4 linked regions of the Drosophila melanogaster genome follow. The protein of the gene in region 3 interacts with the protein of the main gene of each other region in a pairwise test. Each region holds a gene or a part of one and is shown on either strand. Other genes may lie near its edges.

Region 1 (4,556 bases), on a different chromosome or scaffold from region 3:
CAGTTGGCCGGAATTATGCACCCAGGTCGTCGATCGCGCCGATACCCGATTCCCGATCGCTGTTGACAGCTTTTTTAAATGCCGGCAAATTGAGCAACAGGTAAAATCTCCAGCCCGCGGAGGTGAATCAACTTAATTGCTGGCGGAATTGTGTCAGCAGATCGTGCGTATGCGATTTGTGAAGCAGCGGCGCCCTCCAAAACAATGCCCTTCAATGGAAACTCCGCGGGGCAGGTCCAACCTGAATGCTCTTCGCCATTCAATGGATAACCGTTTAGCTGGGAAATATTTCTTTCGAATTTTTGACGATTAATTTACATTGTTGAGTTTATCCAGATGATGACAAACTAAATACACTCCATATAAACAGAACTATTTTTTATCATGTGTAAAATAATAATTTTGTGTAGTTTTTTTTTTAAGGTATTGTTAGCAAAATGTAAGTAAGCACGTAGTAAAACAAAGAAAATGTATAATTATCTAGTTATATAATTACATATAATTTCTTATCTGGATGAAACCAAGAATGAATGGCAAGATACATATATAAATTTATTTATTTCAATACAAAAGTATTGTACTGAATTAAGCCAAAGGGAAATAAATCGCAATAAATTCAAATTCCCTCGCAATTAAAAGCTTTTACTACAAATTCGCATTCCTCTAATCAATTTGTACTTAGATAATAGCCGAAGCAAACCTAAAAATAACGCTGCCAATAAGAGGCGTTGGCGAAACCAGTTTGCAAAACAAAAATCCAATTGGATAAGTCCGGGCCCCAAAATAAAGATAAAGCCCCCACCTGCGTCAATGTGACAGTTAACGAGGCGATATATGCAGGCGGAATGAGAGTCTATGCGAACGTATCTCCCAATTGGACGGAGAGTCACGGCTCCACCTCCAATTGGATTAAGTAGGCACACACACAAGGGGGCGATAATCATAAATTTAAATAAAGCGAGGGAGCATGCAAGTGAGAGAGGGACAGCGAGCAACCAGATTTGAATATTGCAAGAGTGTGTGTGAAAATTAGCGAGCGCGATTAGTTGTCTCTTTTTCCCCAACGGGTCAGCTTTTTGTGGAACCTAAGTGAGCGATCGCTGCTTTTTGCAGTAGTAGTGGTGAGTGGAGAGCGCGCAGAGAGAGCAAGAGCGAGAGTTTTTCAGAGACAAGAGAATTTTAGCTCTCAAACTAAACTTAATTGTTTTTTTTTACACTAAAATGAATTAATGTTTAAACATAACTCATTGCGGTTTTGAGAGAGCTTAAGCGCTCTCTTTTATCCCTCTCCTGCAATTGCAATGTTGCAAGCAGGTGTGCATCTGTGTGTGCAAGTACCTGCAGCAGATACGAGCAACTAAAGTCACGCACACTTACAGCAAAACCCGAACACAGAGACACTTCACATTGCAATTGTTTCAGTGCACTGCCGTTTGTTTATTTGCCTTTTGTTTATATGGATTTGGCAAAAAAAAACTTGTTGCAGCCCGCTGCCGTTAAAGTTGCCGATCTGTTGCGCATCTTTAAGATACTTTTGGCGAGCTCGCCTCAGTTGAGTTCAGCGTTCAGTGGTTGTAGCTCAAGTGCGCGCGCTCCCCGGACTTTGGCAACACATTTTGTCCTCCGCGATATCCCATGCGCTACTCGACCGATACAATACGATCCCGAATGAACCCCTCTAATAAAAATCCCCATTCTCATCGCTCTCGCGTCGCGATTTTTCCGATCTCTTTTTGTGCCGCAGTTTTTTGCGTTTTGACGACGGCATTTGTGCGAATCGAAACGTGCTGCGAATGAGACGCAAATTTCGCTCATAGTAACATCATAATTTATTGAAAAACTATACGCTTATAGTTTTTAAAGAGTGCCCCATATTGTGCAGATAAAGTACAGTGATAACTAATAACTTATTCACTTGAACGAAATGAATTTGATATTTAAAGATTGAAATGTTTGTCTGAAAAACTCAACAATTGAGGTAAATCCCATGAGTATTAAATTAAGCTATGAAAAATATAAAAGAATTCATAGAAATTTTATTGACACATATCTAGAAAGGTTGATTATTTGTGTACAAGTTGTTATACATGAAAATAAAATAACAATATACATGTGCAGAAAATAAATTTAAAGTTGTAGTTACCACAAAAATAAATTTTTTAATGATTGAAAACCAAGACCAAGGGTCTGAAGCTTCTTGAAAAATTTTAGAATTGCTTACAGTCATCTTTTTGGTATATAAATATTTAAATACCTTGGTAACCAACAAATTTAGGAAAGAAATACAATTGTATAAATGTTTTATTTATAAAAGAAAATAATAATGGGTCATTTAATAAATAACTTCACTGATTTTCTAATTACGAAAATGACTTACCTTTTTTGACTAAAAGATTGAACAATTTTACAACAAGTGACATCCGAAATTTTTGTTGATAAGAGTTCCCCAGGCCACCTGGACCCTAATCATGATTCATTCAATTAATCAAAGCCGTGTAGAATTTCACAATCCTAATCTGCAATCTCTAACAAGCTTTAATAAATGAAACATTTTTGAATTTATGTTGCCTAGCGTTTTTAAAGGGTTTTACCCCACCCCGCAGCAGTAAATAGTGTTTGACAATCTATAAAACGGGCTTTTCACCACTTAATTTACTGAAAATTACTGAAAGTAAAGGAAATGTATACCATATAAGAGGGGGGATATTGTATAAACCATTTTTAAGTAAGGCGCCTTGAGTTTCAGACCGGAGGTAAACAGAACCTGCATCAAAGTTTACTCTACAAAAGTTGAAGTGGGATACCTGTAACTCCAGTATCTTTCGCAATGTCGCCGGGGGTGAACGGTGAGGCGAGAAATAATATTGAAATTGAAATAAATAAATACGGCAAACAAAGTGCGAGAAAAATCGATCGATTTACACTTTAAATATCGTACCAACCCACCGTTCGATTTGTTTAATGTGTATATCTATATCAATACACAAGCGTATATTATGTTGCCTTATTGATAAGGCGATCGGCACGATATGTTTTATTAGCATAACACTTGTGGTGTGCCGCAGTTTTGAGTTCAAGTGCCTCTGGACAAGTTGGAACTGCATTTCCTTTTGGTTGGACACTCGTTCTTTATTTTTTTCTTATTCAAATGCCGTTATCTGGGTGGCGTATATAGATACAGCCGTACAGATACCATTACCATTTGCTGTAACGATCGAGTGATTGATTATTTTTACAGTACAATAATAAATATTTGTCCAGCGTTTGTCGCGTTGCCTGCTTAGCCTAATTAGATAAAAATGGAATGGAAAAACTTAACCTGCTTCTTTCTTCTCCTTCTCGTTCTTGGCGTAGCATTATCTCGACTGCGTTTTCCCATTTACCATATTCGGTGCTCCTCCAGCCGAACTGAACTGATTAAGCCCGACCGGGCCAAGAAGACCAAGACGAGTTGGTTCTTATTGGAGTATCTATATCTATGCGTAGACCCGTGTCGACAATTGCGTCGAAGCTGTTGTTTAAAAAGAGAAATGAGTTCAATTTGTTTGCTCTGGCCTGATAAGACAACTCCGTTCGCAGGTTGGTTGGGTGGTGAGGTGAGGAGAGTTGAGATAGAGTCAAGAGCCAAGAACCAGTGCCATGCCACACACTTCATACCCCAGCACTTTGCATATCAACAATGAAATTGTTCATGTTCAACAATGAAATTTCGGCCAAGCCCCAAAAAAACTAATCAATTGAATGGGTATCGATTTGATAGCAGGATCCTCAAAGGTGACAGGTGCTCTGAAAATGTCTTTTTTTTTACTCTTTAAAGTTACTTACTTTTAAAGGTGATTAGGATTTGAGTTTTTCATTACGTTAGGAGCATATTACTCCCATTCCGAAAATAGATTTATAGTCACCCGCTTTAAATAATTTGTAAAATGAGGTCATATATCAGTGAATTAGATTCTTATCAAGCTAATCATTTCCGTATATCATTTAAATATGAATCACTTGAGACTTGGCGACCAAAAGAATCAGCGGATGGTTGATAAGAATTATTGATTTCTTTGCGGTTGATAAGCCAAATTCGTTAAAAGGGTCCTTTCCCCCACTACTATCTTCTTCGTGCGGAAATTCGATTGGCGCGATACAATAAAATATAATTTGCAAAATTAACAAATAAGTTGAAGGCTCGTGATTAAAGTTTATTAAATTCAATTCTTGGAACTCGTAATTCTTTCACCGGGGGTAAACAATAGAATCTTGAAATATGGGCTGATGTTTAGTCCGCGCAAAGTTCATTGGGGGGCTTGTTTCGCTTAACACGTTTCACATTTCGCAATCTTGGAAATCGGTTTGCACCGGTTTTTCACTTTTTTGTTTCGATGGTTTGCGTTAGGTAAGGTCCGGTGCGATACAACTTGCCTCAAGTGGCGTTAAGTTAAGGGCTGCGTACCTGATATTTGGCACATTAGCAAGTGTCTTCTTAAGTATATGTTTATTAACTCTAAAAAAGTCATGACATTTATTCCATTATTATTATCATTATAAATACGAAATTTATTGCA
Region 2 (4,855 bases), on a different chromosome or scaffold from region 3:
GGTACCCTGTACATTTCGATCTTTGATTTTCTATTGATATGAAGATCCTCTTTCTTCAATGTAAAACTAATTCGTTCTGTTAGTATTTTTTATATTTTTTGTGCTTTTAAATTTTAACTTTACGAAACTAATATCCCAAATTTCTCATGAAACTCTTTGTGCAGCTTAAAGCAAAAACTTTTAATTGCTTGCAGACAATACTAGGAAGCCAATAAAATGGTCTGAAGTGCGTGCTAAAAAAAAAGTACGAAAAATCGAAAGATGACAGAAAAGGGGTTAATGCCTATTGTTTTGTTTATTCAGCTCGAAACCAGCTACTGATTCCAATATCCAAAATGTTCAATTTCCGCGTCGCTGTCGCACTTAACCTTCAACTCGCATTGAAGCCAATTTGCTGACTCTGTTGTCTTTTCCCCCCAAACGAGTTTTGTCTTTTGTGCGCCCCCCTTCTAGTATCGTTTTCACACCTCCGCACACAGAACAACTGGCGCCCCATCAAAACCGAAATTTATGATGTGATTCTAGCAACGCGACGGCGAGTGTTTTTTTTTTCTTAGATTGCCCATTGCTCGCGTTTTGAATGAGCTTAATTGTTGCCGATTTGAGTGTGCTTTTCATGTATATGCAGCACAACCCGTTAAAGGTCAAATGAGCGATTGGCAAAGTCGAAAGAGAGAAAAAAAAAATAGAAACCGAAACCGAAAATGAACCCCCACCCCCTTTGCTCGCTAGAAAAGCTGGAGAATTATGTCTATGTCTGCTAACGAAAGAAATGAAAACGAGTTCCACAACTGGCAAACGACGAGCAGGAAGACGACAGCAGATATGGAAAGGGAGATAGAAGCTGTGCAGCGGTACGGTGACGTGAGATGTGCGATGCACATGCAATGGATGACATGATATACATAGTAGATAGGTGTATCTCCGTACCCCCACCACCAAACCCCATGCCAAGCCGTACAAAACCCATCCATATATATCTTCGAGCTGGTTTGGGTTGTTCTGTTCTGTTCGCTTCATTTTGGTTTGGTTTGGTCTGGAAGAGCTGACCGGCGGGCAGGCAGAGCATCATACATACATACATATGGCATAACGGTTCGGCGGAAAGGCGCAGAGAAGTTTTCGGGTCGCTAACTAACCCAGTTACCAGAGATTCATCCGACAGCGTTTATAACTGTGACTATCCTTTTCATATGGGTTAAACGATCGATTGAGATACACGTCGAATGAAAACAGTCCCAATAGAACCGAAATGCATATGTATGAATTCGATTAAATGCGATTGCTGAGTTACTAAATTAGTATCTATACGATTTTGCTGGAATTGCTTAATGGGGAAATACCGTGAGAAAAGTGTTTCATAACGGGGGCAAAACGTTCAATCGCAAATAGTACATAGATACTTTTCTATACCATTATATATCGAACTAAAATTGTTAGTTTGGATAAATATCATAGTGCTTCTTCCTAATTAGTTCCTGAGCTTACATAAATCCTTAACATCCGCAACACAGAAGGGCCTACACAGAAAACGAATCGAATTCGGTTAGATAATATCGCACCACAAAGGCTTGAATCAATTTCATTTCCTCTGCCTTCCGCAAATTGTCCATGGCAATTCAACTATGGGAATCCGCAACTAGTTCCAGTTGGCTTTGCAATTTTTAGCATGACCTCAAAAAATCGATGGATGGCCTAGCGCATTTGAGGACCCAAAGGGTTGGCGAGGGGCAGTGGTAGGAAGGCGCGGGGGGTCTGGACGAAAGGTGTGAGAAATAACAAGCTGCTGGTTGAGCCACTCGTAACTGTTGTTTTCTCAGCGTATTGAACACGTAGGCGCGTCAACGGGGTTGACAAAAAGTAGAAACAACGCAACCAGGATGTGCACGGAAAAAAGAGGAAATACTCTAGGCCCAATAAGATATATCATTATTTTAAGATTTTCACTCTTTTTATTTTTAGAAGGTATTTAAAGGCAGTTTGAATAAGGATATATTCCATAAAAACCTATCTTTAAATAATTCTTGTGAAAACTGTCAAATGAACCCTAACAATACCCCCATTTCTTTCTGTGTGGCAGAGAAAACACCTGACAATGCAGTTGAGTGTGAGGGGGCGTTAATAAGGGAGGGTTGAGGGTTGCAGGGCAGACAACCAGACAAGCGGACGAACAGACAGGAAGCTCGTGAGGAAGGAAGTTCCTGCCGCTGCGGCAAAGGAAGTGGTTAAAACAATATGGCAGTGGAGGAACAAGTAGTGGTGGAGTGGCAGTGGCAGTGGCACACCAAGCAACATTGTGAATGCCCAATGTACCGTTGTTGTTGCTGACGCTGGAGTAGCAGCTTTGCTGCAGCGTTGCAGTTGTTGCTGGTGTGCCAATTCTAAGCGCTGCATTGGCAACAGTCGCGCTTCGCCGGTTTCGCAACTGAACTCTCAGCTGCTATTGCTCCTCTGCAGTTAGTTGCTGTTGCTTCTGCTGCTGCTGCTGTTGCTGCATTGCGCGTAATCAGTGAAGCAACAAACCGTGGCAGCTAGCTGCAACAGCAACAATAACACGCCAGCAGTCGCGGCTCTGAGGAAAAACTTGAATGCAGTTTTTCGCAGCGAATGACACAGTTTCACACCAGCACGGGAAAACACTAGCACACACACAGAGAAGAACTTCTTTTCTTTCTTTCTTTTTTTTTTTGTTGGAGAACAGACTCCTTTTCGGCTTACATTTGTTCCCCTTTTCGGGATATTAGTTTGTATTGGTAGGCGATTTTATTTCACAATCTAGCATAGCATTTCACGGTGGCAATTGATGTTGCAAATGTTGCGCTGCTTGCTGCTGGAGTTGCTGTTTTGCTTTTAACTGCGACGCGATGATGTGTGGTTGCAACCGACGGCGGCGCCTCGAAAAACAATGTCAAATAATGACGCGGCGACATCAACAGTCCACTATTGACGACGACCTGCAACCGCTCGAGCGACCAAGCGTGCCAAAGGAAATTTCTACACTGAGCCAAGCCGTCCGTCTTTGACTGACTGCTGCTCGTTCGGCTGGCAACAGCAACACATACACATACACAGCGGCAACAACAGCAACACACAGCGGCAACATCAACACTCACGCAAGTAAGGAGAGAAAAAAGGCAGCAAAAGCAAAAACACAAAACTGGCAACGAAAGCAGAGCACACAGTAAAGATGAAGTGGTTGCTGTTGTTGTTATTGTTGCTGCTGATGTTGCTGCTGTCTCGCACACCAGCAACATTTGCTCTCCGCTCGAGCGCGAGGAAGAGAGCTAGAGGTATCAAATACCAGCTGAGCGGGAGAGAGCTGCCCGTGTACGTGTTTTGCATACAAATGCGCCACTCAAGCGAGACACGCACATCTATACGGTTTTCGACCACTTGTTTGACTGCTTTGGCTTTAGCCCTCTCTCTTCTACGCTCTCTCGCATCAGCTGAGCGCTCATGTTTTGATGCTCAGCAGCTGACTGCGCTGGCGTTGCCACACAGCTCGGTAACAAGAGAACACGGCAAAGTGGCAGTAGAATAGTAGCAGAATCTACTACTTTTTTAACGCATTGAACAAACCTAGGATAAACTCTATAAATAACAATTAGAAATTAATTTTCCACGAAAAGGGATAATTGTACCGTTCGTATGAAACATTTAAATGGATTTCTCATAAATATATTGCCATTGTTGATTCATTAACACATGGTTTTAATGATCACAGGTAAACGAAATAAATTCGGCAAATTTAATGGCTAACACAATTTCGTACAATTGACGCAAACATCACATCACTTATGTACTTTTACCAAGAACACTAATTGGCTTGATAACAATCTGTTCAACTAAAACATCATAGAGTTTTGTTAAAGCGCTAAACATTTATTTAATACGTTTAATACTCTAAGCATGTTATAATTTTTTTCTCAGTTAAAATGACTGCTCTAATTGACTTAAACAAATTACCTGGGATTTGGGTAAGCTCATGCTCAAGATATTTCACTCACCTGAAAGGAAAACAGAAAATAAAGAATTAAAGATATATTCCAATTTGTTATTCTCGATGGTAAGGACCTCCAGCTACGTGGTTCTTATCAATGAAGTGACCCCAAGCCCGCATGAAATAGCTACTCCTCTGACCATCAAATCTCTCCACAGGGAGTAATTATCACGCTCTTTTTCGGCCAGGAAGAAATAAAATCAGTAATCAAATAGAATGGAGCGGTAGACGAAAACCGAAGAACACAGGAACTGCATTTGCTGCCTAACTTACACAGAATCTAGACCCGAATAAGAAAACATAATATAAACGCATCGTCATTCTGCGTAAATAAAGTTGAAAACAGGAACACGCAATGCACTTAGATAAATTTGGACCGACATGTGTGGTATTCATTAAGCGAATAACTAAAAAGAATGATTAACAAAAACACAACAGTACCAACCCACATAAACTTATTTTATATTTTTAAATTTACTAGACAATTGCATTAATACACTTTTTTTCGAGTGTATCTCAAAACAGCTGTCCATTGACGAGCTGAAGAAAAACAAGAACAAATACGACTGGGGCGAAAAGGTGAGAAGCGGATAGAGGAAAAGGAATCTTGGCAGCAGAGAACGCGCACCTGTGACCGCCCGCAATGCAACCGAAACGGCGGCAAGTTCATTTGCACCACATCAAAATTTCATCCACACTATGCTGCGCACACACACACACGAAGCGTGTAATGGAACATCTGATCCGTACCGCCAACTCTATGGCCCTCTCTTTCCACCCACACAGCACAGCAACCATCTCACTTGCTCCAAAAGGTGGTAACGCTCGGCTGCTTTCTAGCGGTTCAACTGCTGC
Region 3 (7,855 bases):
AGTGTTGGCCCAGAGATTTGTAGGCCAAGACGGTATAATTAAGTTGGCCCAAAGAACAGGTGCCCGTATCGGTCGTCAGGTGAATTCTCATTCAATTATGGCCAATTGGCGTACGTTTCAATTTGCAGTTTAATCTGTAATATTCCCATATCGATTCGATTTGCGGAGCTTAAGCGATGCCATTCAATGATGCCATTTCATTTGAAAATGGTAGTCGATTGCAAATTGGCAAATGGTCATTATCTTATTGCTATAGGTCAAACCATCTCTATTATTCATTCTAACCAATGCCCACGCAGCCAGCAGAAGTCAAGATTCTCGTTTTAATTGGCTCGATTCCAGTGCAGATTCGTTTGTTCTTAATCCGTTCTTTTTGATATCGAATGAAAGTGGAGCCGGTCTTGCTAAGCTTATATTTTAAACTCGAATGCCATTGAAATGGACTTAGGAAACGGTAGAGTGAGTTAGTGAAGATGTTCAATGAAATACCCAATTGGCTTATTGTGTGGTATGAGTGAATCGGAATACCTCAAGCTAATCAAGAATATTTACGGCCTCTCAGTTTTTTTTTTTTTTCAAATTTTATTTTCTTTCATTTATGTATATTCTCTTTTCGCTTACTATTTGAACGGAAATGGGCGATTTTTTGTTCTCCTCAATTTCCGACATATTTCAGATTGAAAAATATGTAAATTCGTGAAATTAATTAAATTTTGTAATGCGATTATCTACATATATCTTATGCCCAATTAAGAAGAAATAGAAAGAAGAAAAAACCTTAGCGAAATGACCATATTGAATATTTCCCCCAGTTAGTAGTAATAGGCATCCGGTGCGGATAAGATACATTCTGTTTGAAGAATCGGTATAAATTATAGTATAATAGATTTGTAAATTTAAATGACATAACTGTCTTTTAAATCCTACAAAGATAAAGAGTCGCTTAGTTTTGGATGCTTTCAGAAATATGTGTGTACATATATTACCAGGTACCGCCTAGTACTAGCGACCTGCCCATTGTGTCAAGTGGGCAATTTCTTCGTTCACAGCCAAGTTGCCTACGATCCGGAGCCGTGTTTAGTAGGAAGCCCAGCCAAGTTCGACCCACGGCACTTGGATGCAGCGGCCCACGCAGAAATCGAGCCATCATAGCAAAGGCATGACCAAAACAATCCGAAGCAAAGTCGCGTCAAGTACGCGTATATAAATAGCCCGATGCCCAGGCAAATATATGTATATATATGTATATGTATGTGTGTACGAATGACTCAGTCTGAGAAGCGATTTGGACTGAAATGATTTTAGCTAAAATCGAGCAGCACAATATACAAAGTCAACAAACAGCAAAACAAGCTTGTCAAACAGAGTTATGAGACAGAATGCTGGTGCATTGGGAAAAATAGTTTTCCAACTGACAGGCTGAACAAATATATATAACTAAATTAACTACTTCATCAATTTGATCTACTGCTTTCGTTACTCGAAATGTTTCTAGTTTAGCAAGTTGAACTTATGCAGACATAATGGTAAATTAGTTATAAAACTAATGAATTTGGTAAATTCCGATCTTTATTTTGTTAAAATTACAACAACTATTGGATGCTACTACCTGAGGAGAGATAATTTACTTTACAAATCTTTAATATCAAGCTATACTATAGTTTTTTCTCTGTGTAAGTGGAAGGGTTGTGGATGCGGGGTAGAGGGGAATTCGGGAAGGGAAGGTGAGCAGATCAGAGCAGAGCAGAGCAGCTGAGAGATGACGCCAACGTCGCTCAGCTGTTTCTCGGCCAAGTTAAGAGTTGCGGCCTTATAAATAGCCCAAGCTCGTCTAGAAGCCGACTCAGTTGAAAGCGAAGCGTGCCAAGTGGGAAATCGCAACCATTTATCAGTTGACACTTTTTGTTTTGTTTTTTATTTTACGTTCTTTATCTGCTGTAGTGCTAGTGTTTTCTAAGAACTGAACCCCGAAAATGGTGAGTTGCAGTGGGAATAACCAAAATCAATATGTATATATAAACGTGTGTTAAGGAATATATCCTTTTTTTTTTTTAAATCATCTAAACTGAAGCAATCTATCAACGATGGATAATTTATAAACAATTTTATAAAAGTAATAAAAATGGGTTCGATTTAAGGAAAGAATCTGAATCACGAATAAGTATATAGATTTAAACTTGCACATTTATTTGCTGTTTATTTTCTTCACCGCGAAAACTTAAGTGAAAAAATTACGCACAAAGGCAATACATAAAATATGCATTCAGTAAATGATACGTGAATGGAATATTGATGTACTTAAAGCAAACACGACAAAAAAAATATTCATTTCACAATGTAAGGACTTAACTTTGCTATTTGCTATTTACTTCCGGCTAGATGAATAGTGGTGAATGGATTTGCAAATACATCGAATGAACCAAGAAATATTCCCACATACTCGTAATGTTTCTGAAGCCCACGATCGGTTTATTCTTTTGAGTGTCTTCGATCTGCCTTTTATCTGCCCATTTTTTTGTTTTTTTTGGCGATGATCAATCACTCAACGCTTTTTAAGCTGCCCAAGTAAACATCAAGCCCATTATTCATTTGTTTGTGCACAAAGCCAAAAACACAAACCAATTAGTTTCTAGCACTTTAGCATAGCTTGTTATTTTAATTGCCATTACGAGAAGAGTAAAAAGTCCAATAGATTTGAATTGTTTACCTTTTTACCTACTTATGTTGAGCACTTAACATTTTCTTGCTCATTATTTAAATTTAGAAAGCATTAATTTAATCTAAACTCTGACAGGTTTTACGTTTTATTTAACTAATTCAAGATTGAACAGATTATATAGTTGACTATTTAGTTCTCGCCCTTCCAAAAGCAATTATTTAAATGTACATATGTATGTACATATATAATATAACAAATATGGCTCTGATTCACTTCACTTCCCTTGCGCAATGTAATCAGATTATAAATCACCCTGCAAGATGTGTGATTTAAGAAAAAAATCCAATTTCCTCCCTCGGTGGATCCATCCGTGCCATTTACGCGATGATCGACAACTTAGTTGATACGAACATGGACTACCATATTGGTCATTCAGAGTAATTCGAAAAGGCAGCCGACCCCCATTTGCATATTCTTATTGTATGCCGATATTTGAATAATTGTTTTTAGCCCGAATTGAGCTTCCAAAGAAGCGGACAACAAGTTTATCACCCATGTGTCATTCGCCAACAATGATCGCCACCTTGAGAGCGAAGCCATATCATCATCTCGATCGTCTCGTCTCGTCTCGTCTCATCTCCATGCCCAGTTAGCCCAAACATGGTGCCACCAGAATCCCACTGACCACTGAGAGTCCAAGTCCAAGCCAATGTTTGCTACCAAACAGCGGATCATCGAGTTAGTCATGTTTATTGGGCTTTTTCAGAACTCGAATGCGATTATGACACATAAACCGGCAAAGGGGGCGTGATACTCGCTTCTCGATTGAGATGTTTGTTCATATCGAATACTTTAGTGAATGAATCCCAATCCAGTTCAAACTCATTTCATTCGACTGGCTCTACGATTGACGCAGAATATGACATTTATCTTTGTATTACCGTTGTCTTTTATTTAGTTTCGTTACTAATGAGAACTAGTGAATGCACTCCATTTGGAGTTACTTCAAGTTAGTATTCAAATATATTCAAATATTATATTCATCTTAGATCGGTATCGTATTGAATTTAAATTCAAGTGATAGCAGCACTAATCGCAGCTGATCCTTCTCTTGCAGCAGCAGCTCCTGGTCGTGGCCCTGGTGGCGGTGGCCATCGCGTCCTTGCCCCAACTGGCCGCAGGTAAAAAGCTGGGGAAGCGCTGCGTGAACTGCACGTACCGCACTTACTACACCTACGGCGATGGGCGATCCCTGCAGCGGGTTGTCTATAGAGATCCGGTCTACACACGTGGTATTTACACAGCTTGCCTATCAGTATCCGTATTCGTAGTCTTACCGCACCAGCACGATGTACATAGGAGGAGAGCACCGCCGCCAGCACCCTGACCCCTGACCCTTGACCCTTGATCCTTGACCATTGACCCCGCGCCCCAAATGTGTCTGCAGTAGCTAACCCCTAACCCCTAACCCCTATATATATATAGTATAGTATATAGTATAGTATAGTATAGTATAGTATAGTATACATATGTATGTACATACCATACTCGTAGTAGCGTAGCATTAGAGATTAGATTGAGACACAAGTTCACCTGCGCACCAGTGCATCACCTCACCGCCTGTGCCTCTCTCCTCTCCTCTCGCCCACACAGCGCAGTCCTACGCGAGCGGATGCAGCGGTAGCCCGTGCGGCGTGAACGCCGTGTGCCAGGAGGCCTCCGGAGGACGGCCCGTCTGCTCGTGCCCGCCCGGATTCAGCGGTAATCCGCTCACCCACTGCAATCGCGGCGAGTGCCTGGACAACGTCGACTGTCGCGACAACCTGCAGTGCAAGGACAATCGCTGCGTTAATCCCTGCGTGGGTGCCTGTGGCATTGGCTCCAATTGTGACGTAAGTGGGACTTTTATGTCGCCAACACTCCTCCACGGCCAACTTCTGGCGCATTCCCTCGCATTCTGACCATCGGCACTCTACGCCACCTCCGCTTGCTCTTTCCAGGCCCGCAACCACGTGGCCGTGTGCAGCTGCCCCGCCGGCTACAATGGCGACCCATACCACGCCTGCCACCTCAACGATCCGGGTAAGTGCCTGACCACTCCACTACCGCCCACATGCCGCGGGGTAGGCGTGGCAGAGCTCAAAATCGATTAAAATGCCGGGTGTCATAAGAGTCGTTCGCTCAACTGGGAGCTGTTGAAATCAATCCGCTTCGATTGTGTATTTCGTTTCACGATTAAATAAATTAATTAATTGGGAAATCTGAGAAATGCACAATTTAAAGATATATGTACTAGTAGATGATCGAATCAATTAAAAGCTCTTAGTTCTTAACGCGCACATCTTAACATTGATTATGTACTAATAATATATGAATTACAATCATCAGCTGGTTAAAATTTTAATTAGCTAAAAGATGCAAGTGATCATACATGTATGTACATACATAGTGTGGATGTGAAAACCAAGCCGAGAAATAAGCCTTGACCACTTGAATTAAATCAAGGGCAAACAGGTTTCTTTACTGAGTTACATAACAATGAGATGAACCAAGAGGAGCGGAGTGTTTGCAGTGTTAAAATTATTGGCAATACACGAATGCACTTGAAAATTGGCATAATGCAATGCCTTGTCTAATAGAAAAATTTCAAACTAAATGAACACATAGATCGCGACATATTTGTAAACAATTTGTAAACAACTCATGTTGTTTATTATGTTTTATTTATTATTATTATTTTTTTTTTGCATTAATGCAAAGTGGACATACGACTGATTGTTCCGGAAATGCATAGATATAGACATGGATTGACATAGGTACATCGATTAATTAGCCCACTCGCGAATCCCTTCTCCACAATGAGGTGCTAGATAAGTGGCAAGATGACGTCGCAAATCCAAGTGGTATTGCCAAATTTGGTCAAATCTAGTGTATTGACAAAAACAGGGGGCTGGGCCTCTGGACAGCATGTGGGTTTACCTTGCTTGCATAACATTTTGCACTCGATGATAATGAGAATTATAATAATAATAATAATAATCCAAAGCCAACGGCCAACGCCCAACACTTGGGGCCTTTGTAATTTTATGGTAATTAGCATAGCATTTCGCTTCGCAATTGTCAAGATCAAGGACGCAGTGGGCGAGCTCTCAAGGCCAACGAGTGTCCGTAGTCGAGCCTAGTAGAGCTGGAATCCGACGGAACCGAAAGGTGGCCCCGGTTAGGCACCAGTCAACATCCGATTATGGTCATAAGCTGCGCAGGTCGGCCAGCTACCATTCAGGTAGCACAGGTCGGCCGAGTGGCTTGGGAATTTCGCTGGAAGAAGACAACTTGATCCACCCGGGGGCTACACTGCAAGAAACTGATTGAAAAATATCATCTTTAGAACGACAAACTGAAGCACACTGAACGTAATTTGATCGGCTTAAATATTTAAGCGTTCTAAATGGGAATAGTAACATTTCCAAACACTTCATATTCAGAACTTGCCATAAATAGTGGCTAAGCGCAGGTTCCGTCATTAGTTGAAATAATTCCTGCTGGGAATTTCTTAACTATAAATATTAAAATTAACACATAATTGAAAGCTTTTTTCTAAATTGTGACCGTGAAAGTTGAGCGGTGTAAATGTCACTAGGACCTGCTTGTTTATTACCAACATTCTGGCTTTTATACGAACGGACAAACGCACATGTTCAAAAGGCAAATTAACTAGAACTTCTAACCAGGAAATTATTTGATGGGTGGGGGGGGGGGGGGGGTCTTCTACCTCAACGAATCTATTATATTCCTTAACTTTTAACGCCAATATTGAGCTGCTAAATATTATCTTTGGCTTGAATTTCTTTAAAATAAAGTCAGTTGAAAACCAATTTCAATTGCTGTCCGTCCAAGAGTCGGCGTCAATAAATTGCATCTCTACGTTGGTTGCTCATTCGGGATTCGTGTCGAGTCCAAGGGCCTGGCATTTCTCGCCCCTTTTCCGATTTCTGCATCTTAACTGGTCCTCCGATATACATATATTCTTGATTTCACTTAAATCCCTTTCTGTGTTGCCTTTACTCCGGCCTCCGTTTGCGTGCAATTCCCATTGAAATACAATATTTATTTGCATTTCCAATTAGCAACTGACTTGGAAACAATAATTGCAAACGAACAGTCTGCGGGGAATGGAAGTAGCTCGGATTCCCTGCTCCATGATGTTCCCTGCTGCCGCCCCAAGGACACCGGATTCTTTTCCATTCATGTTCCTGGGGAGCCGAAGCAGTTGCGATTCCCTTTGGGCGTGTTGCAGACCAACTGAAAACATTCACGGACATTTGCCTTAAAGATTTCGTGCAGGAATACAAATGAATTGCTAACATTTAAAGGTCCACAATGCGTTTGCCACGCCGATAATAAAAAATAACTATTTGGTTAGCTATATATTTCGAAGAAAATCTACCAATACATCGATTTAATGTCGACGACGAGCATTTCCGACTTTCGTTGCAAGACATTTTGCAATCGATTTTCAAAACCGAACTCCACATTTCATTACAATACATTTTCCCGGCGCGGAAAAGTTGCTGCTTCTCGCAAATTATGTCAAAAGGAAATGTAAGAGAAAAGGCCTGATAATGGCGAAACTTTTGCCATCGGAACGGAAAACAACGCAAACTAATTTCTTGACTTGCTCACCGCACCACCACCATCATCATCATCATCATCATCACCATCATCATCATCATCATCTTGAACGACGAGTAACAACAATTGGTGCAAAAATAAAAGAAAATATGGGGTAAAAACCAAAAATATGCGCATAAATGAGCCCGGCTATTTGAATATGATTTTCTATTTGCCCACTTTGAGTGGCCGGCCCCCAATTATTGGCCCCATTGGAGGTATTTTCCCGATTTGACCGGAACACAAGTCACATGACCCGGCATAAATCAAAAATGGGGCAGCAACAGCGGATGTTGACAGGGGCCACAACCCCCAACGATGGTGAAAGGTGAAAGGTGAAAGGTCGGGTGGAAAACAACTTCCTTCGTCGGCCGATTGAACTTTTCATAGACTCAACTAAATCGACACTTGAACTTGGCAATATAGCACTTACTTACTGAAAAGTCTTGCTCAGATGGAAATGAATCCATCATCGCCATGCCGCATTCAAAATATACTGTTGCAGACAGCTTTGTGGGCGAGTCT
Region 4 (4,426 bases), on a different chromosome or scaffold from region 3:
TTCTTCTGGTCTCATGAAAAAGCACTTCACGGTTTGAAAATTGTGAAGAGTATATGATGAAAAGCTGACACACGTGCGCTGAAGTTAAATGTATATACCACCAGCCAAAAAAAGCATTATCGCAAATTCACCGAAACTTTTCATAAGTTTGGAGAGCGCTGGGGGAGATCGTGTTCGAGAAAAGGTTTTCCCCGTGGGTTGGGTAAAATGTAAATATCGGTGGTAATGGCCGCCGCCCCAGGAGGTGGAAAAATCAACTGACCAGTAACTTTGGAGCCAACTTTGATGGCATCTTGCGAAAGTTGAAAGTGACTTAAGTGAAATTTCCACCTCAGGCGGCTCAGCAGCAGGACGACCTCGTCCCCTTTTCCATGGATTATCGAGGGGTCACGCCATGAACATGAGTAAAAATTAAATTGATTTTCCTCGGACATTGTTCGGACCTGTTCAGAAACTCGGTGTGCTTTTCTTTTTGGCCCTTCATGGGCTTCTGTCAACCCAATGTATTTTGTCGCATCCCTCGGAAAACTTGAGCTGGGCGAACTCCTTTAACTTGCCTATGTGGCATATTAAATTGGTGCGCAAATAGTTGTGTATTTTATTGACTCACTTTTACAGCTCAGCCAAGAGTATTTCGCATCTGCCCAAATTTTTAGCCAGCAAAATATTAAGTTGAGAGCTTTACCCCTGGAGTCTACCAATGCCGCAATACCATTCCTTTTCTACTCGACTTAAGCGACAATTTCATTTCAATTAAATTATAATTATATCTTCAGTTTGGCCCCATCAAGTTTGAGTCAAACAAAAAGTACAATTTTCATTTTCACCTTTGCGAAAGACGAGGCGGGCGTTGATAATTCCCCAAAATTGTTTGACACTTCAAAGTCATTATGAAGATAGCAATCACCAAACCCTGTTCCTCGGTCCGCTCAACTTTTCTCCAAGGGTCCTGGCATATCTTCACGACATTCACTCCCTGCCACTTCCAAGGCTCAGCAATCCTTCAGCTCCAGCCTGCCCCTCGTCCTTTTGCCACTTTACTCAATCCTAAGATGGGAATTGCCACGTCTGTCTACATACCTACATACCCGCAGCGCTTTTTGATGTAATTTTGGCATAAGCCAAAAAATGTTTCCTTTTCCCGAGATGTCTTTGTCTCCACTTCATTCCCCGGCGAGTGGTTTCCGAATGCGACACGCCCTGACAAATTCATCCGGGGAAAATGAGGAAAATGGCTGAAAATTAAATTTGGAATTAAAATTTTGGCCCTGGGCACATAACTTTATGCCGCTGGATTTTCTTTCCGCCCAGAAGGATTTCCTTACTCAAGGATAAATACTTAAGGCAAGCGTAGGCATAATAATAGCTAAGCAGCTTCTCGGAAATTAAGACGATTTAGTTGTTTAATTCTTTGGTTATCACTAGACTCCACAAATAAAGAGATAGATTGAAAATGTAATTAGATAATCAAATATAATTTTCACAGTTTTAAAGTTTAACAATATTGCTTATTTAAATGGTTGCTTTTCACCTCCGAATTTACTTTTAATCTCATAAGCATTTGAACTTGTAGTATTTTTGGCGGCGATATGTTATCAACAAACAACTCTTCCAAAAATAAACCTATATATTATTTTTTGGCAACCAAATACAATGCCACTCTAAATTGTAAATAACATTTAAGCAGCTGATCCAATTCTTGTGTTCAAAACAACAAAATTCAAAGCAATTAATTGTGCGCTGGTTTTTCTTTTTGCCTTTACTTGTATTAGGAATTATTCTTTAAAATATTTATTGATAGAGAAAAAAATATCCAGACTTATATATATCAATGAATTCGGCCACTGCGTCAACAAATCGAATTCTAACTTGTTTTAGCTATTAAAAGCAACAAATAAATGACGTATTAATAAGTACGCTAAAATAAACCAGTTGCAAAACAAACATTTATTTACTGTATATTGTTTCCATTAAGATAGAAATAGGAAAAAATGTAAGTCAATGAATATATACATAGAAAATATTCTTATCAGCTTACCATATGTATGTACAACGGACGTATAAACATATATAATAATTTTTGCATATAAAAAGATTCAAATGCATCTTGTTCTCAAAAATATTAGTCATACATCTTTTCAGATCGTTGCTCTAAATTCATCTGAGACTCGATCAGATGGGCTGTCGGCGATTTTCTGGAGGAGGACATCACCCACACGGAGGTCCACCTCCCCCTCGTCACCATCATCACCATCGTGGCAGACATGGTGCTGGTGGACGCTGTGGACACGGACACCAGCACCAGCCTTTTCCACCACCGCCTCATCGCCCCCATCGACATGGAAGTCACTTTTGGGAGGGATACGGTCCACCTCCACCACCGCCCCATTATCCACCACCAGGGGGATATCTGTATGGTGGCCACCATTGGCAGGGATATCCTCCTCCGCCACCTCCGCCTCCTTCTTCACACCACCCCCCACCATCTGGATCTCCAGCAGGAGGGTGTCCGCATTGCGGTTGCCCAGGAGGCGGTCCACCTCAAAGTGGATTTCCTGGTACCGAAAGACCTCACAACGAAACCTCAAACGACGATCAGCATGGCAGCTTCCAATCTCCAATTCCCGGTGGCGAAGTTCCTACTGATGAAATACCTGGAAAAAATAAATACGAAATCATTGATATTTAGACAACAGTAGAAAATGTTTCAAAAAAGGTAAAGTCACTATGTTATATCTTGTATCTGAGTAATGTCTTATTAATGATTTTATATTATCCGGATTTTCCTGATCAAAAAAATCGAGTAATGTTATGTTGATAAAAACTTTTCAAATATCAAATAAATAAATATAAATAAACAAATAATTTAAAAACTCCTTTATATTTCCGTCATTTCAATATGGTACTGAATTAGTATTAGTATTCTATTCAATTCCGGATTTTTCTGTTTTTCCATTTTCCCTCTTCCAATAAACTGGTTTATTTTATTTTCCATCGTAACCAGATGTTGACGGCAATACTTTTCTGTGATTTCCTTTTACAGGTAGAGACTCAAACTTAAGTCCCTCAGCCAGGTAGAATACCTTTCAGCTACCTACTTGATATTACCAAATCGTGGTATAAAAATCAAAAAAATATTAGAGCCGCCTCAGTACCGAAACTTCAGCCACGATGAAACTACTGGTGCGTCTTCTACTATAGAAATCTTAACTAACTTAGAAATATTTTTATAATAACAAATTTATAACTATAGATTGCTCTGTTTGCACTGGTGACCGCTGTGAACGCTCAGAATGGATTCGGCCAAGTTGGACAAGGAGGATATGGAGGGCAAGGAGGATTTGGAGGATTCGGAGGAATCGGCGGGCAAGCAGGTTTTGGTGGACAAATAGGATTCACTGGACAGGGTGGAGTTGGTGGCCAGGTGGGAATTGGTCAAGGCGGAGTCCACCCGGGTCAAGGAGGATTCGCTGGACAAGGTTCTCCAAACCAATATCAGCCTGGTTACGGAAGTCCTGTGGGATCTGGCCATTTCCATGGAACTAATCCAGTTGAGTCCGGTCATTTTCACGAAAATCCTCATGAATATCCGGAACATCATGGCGATCATCACCGTGAACATCATGAGCACCATGGACACCACGAACATCATGGACATCATAGACATTAGTACAAATATGAGAATACCCATGACAAAATTAAAGGAATGTAATGCTATAGTTCTCTACCGTAAATTCTTAAGAAACACTTGCTTGTTTCTGAAGTCTCTATTGTATCTAATGTCCAGAATTGATTTGTAAAAGTGATTCTTTATCTAAAACCCCCTTGAGATCCACTATACAACGTGCCTTCTTGAATTTCAGTATCTAAAATGAAAAAAAAAACGGAGTCTCAATAAAAAAGTAAATAAGGAAACGGAACCCTTTACTCTGTCCATTTTGGTTGAGGCATCTATAAATTATTTTGCAGATAGCATACAAGCATATATACCCCACACATCCCATCTCAACTTTTGCAATCGGAGAAAAGGATGCCGTCGACCGCTCCCAAGCGACATTTTCTGACCAAAGCAGCTGACAGAATTGAAAAATAAGCGACGTCCGACTAAAAGGGGGAATGGGGAGGGAATGGTAAAGGGTGGGGTTCAGGTGGGTGGGGGCTGAAGGTGAAAAATAAAAAATGGCGTCCAGTCGAGTGCTCAACCTCAAGATTTATAACGAAGGAAAAAAAATAGAGTCGAGGTGAGGGTGGGAAAAAAGAGCACACGTTAAAATAATGCAAAAGCTGAAGAAAACTAAAAAAAATGTGCGGGAAAAACTGCCACCCACACGGCCAAGGAAAGAGTGAGAAGGAAAACCGCACACACACTGATGCGCGCAACAACGGAAATGGAAAGGATAAAATTAATTTTTCTCCTTTATTGCCA

Evidence for each region.
Region 1: the proteins of aspr (region 3) and nub interact in a two-hybrid assay, tested with the Drosophila melanogaster proteins (one large-scale study listed by BioGRID).
Region 2: the proteins of aspr (region 3) and Mob2 interact in a two-hybrid assay, tested with the Drosophila melanogaster proteins (one large-scale study listed by BioGRID).
Region 4: the proteins of aspr (region 3) and sala interact in a two-hybrid assay, tested with the Drosophila melanogaster proteins (one large-scale study listed by BioGRID).

Annotation. Positions count from the first base shown.
Region 1 is NT_033779.5:12,586,075-12,590,630, forward strand, and holds the start of nub (nubbin), read left to right. Parts: upstream 1-1,550; 5' UTR 1,551-1,978; intron 1,979-4,556. UniProt on the Drosophila melanogaster protein: DNA-binding regulatory protein implicated in early development. Involved in neuronal cell fate decision. Repressed directly or indirectly by the BX-C homeotic proteins.
Region 2 is NT_037436.4:11,550,112-11,554,966, forward strand, and holds the start of Mob2 (Mob2), read right to left. Parts: upstream 3,002-4,855; 5' UTR 2,719-3,001; intron 2,583-2,718; exon of another isoform or gene 2,428-2,582; intron 1-2,427. UniProt on the Drosophila melanogaster protein: Required for the normal morphogenesis of a variety of polarized outgrowths including epidermal hairs, bristles, arista laterals, and dendrites.
Region 3 is NC_004354.4:20,146,286-20,154,140, forward strand, and holds the start of aspr (asperous), read left to right. Parts: upstream 1-1,838; 5' UTR 1,839-1,973; coding exon 1,974-1,976; intron 1,977-3,776; coding exon 3,777-3,951; intron 3,952-4,312; coding exon 4,313-4,551; intron 4,552-4,659; coding exon 4,660-4,741; intron 4,742-7,855.
Region 4 is NT_033779.5:11,483,039-11,487,464, forward strand, and holds sala (spalt-adjacent), read left to right. Parts: upstream 1-1,668; 5' UTR 1,669-1,993; intron 1,994-2,142; 5' UTR 2,143-2,176; coding exon of another isoform or gene 2,177-2,689; 5' UTR 2,690-2,716; exon of another isoform or gene 2,717-2,745; intron 2,746-3,043; 5' UTR 3,044-3,171; coding exon 3,172-3,183; intron 3,184-3,253; coding exon 3,254-3,670; 3' UTR 3,671-3,911; downstream 3,912-4,426. Other genes in the region: CG43355 (uncharacterized protein), read left to right, coding at 2,177-2,689. UniProt on the Drosophila melanogaster protein: Likely to be involved in the establishment of the head.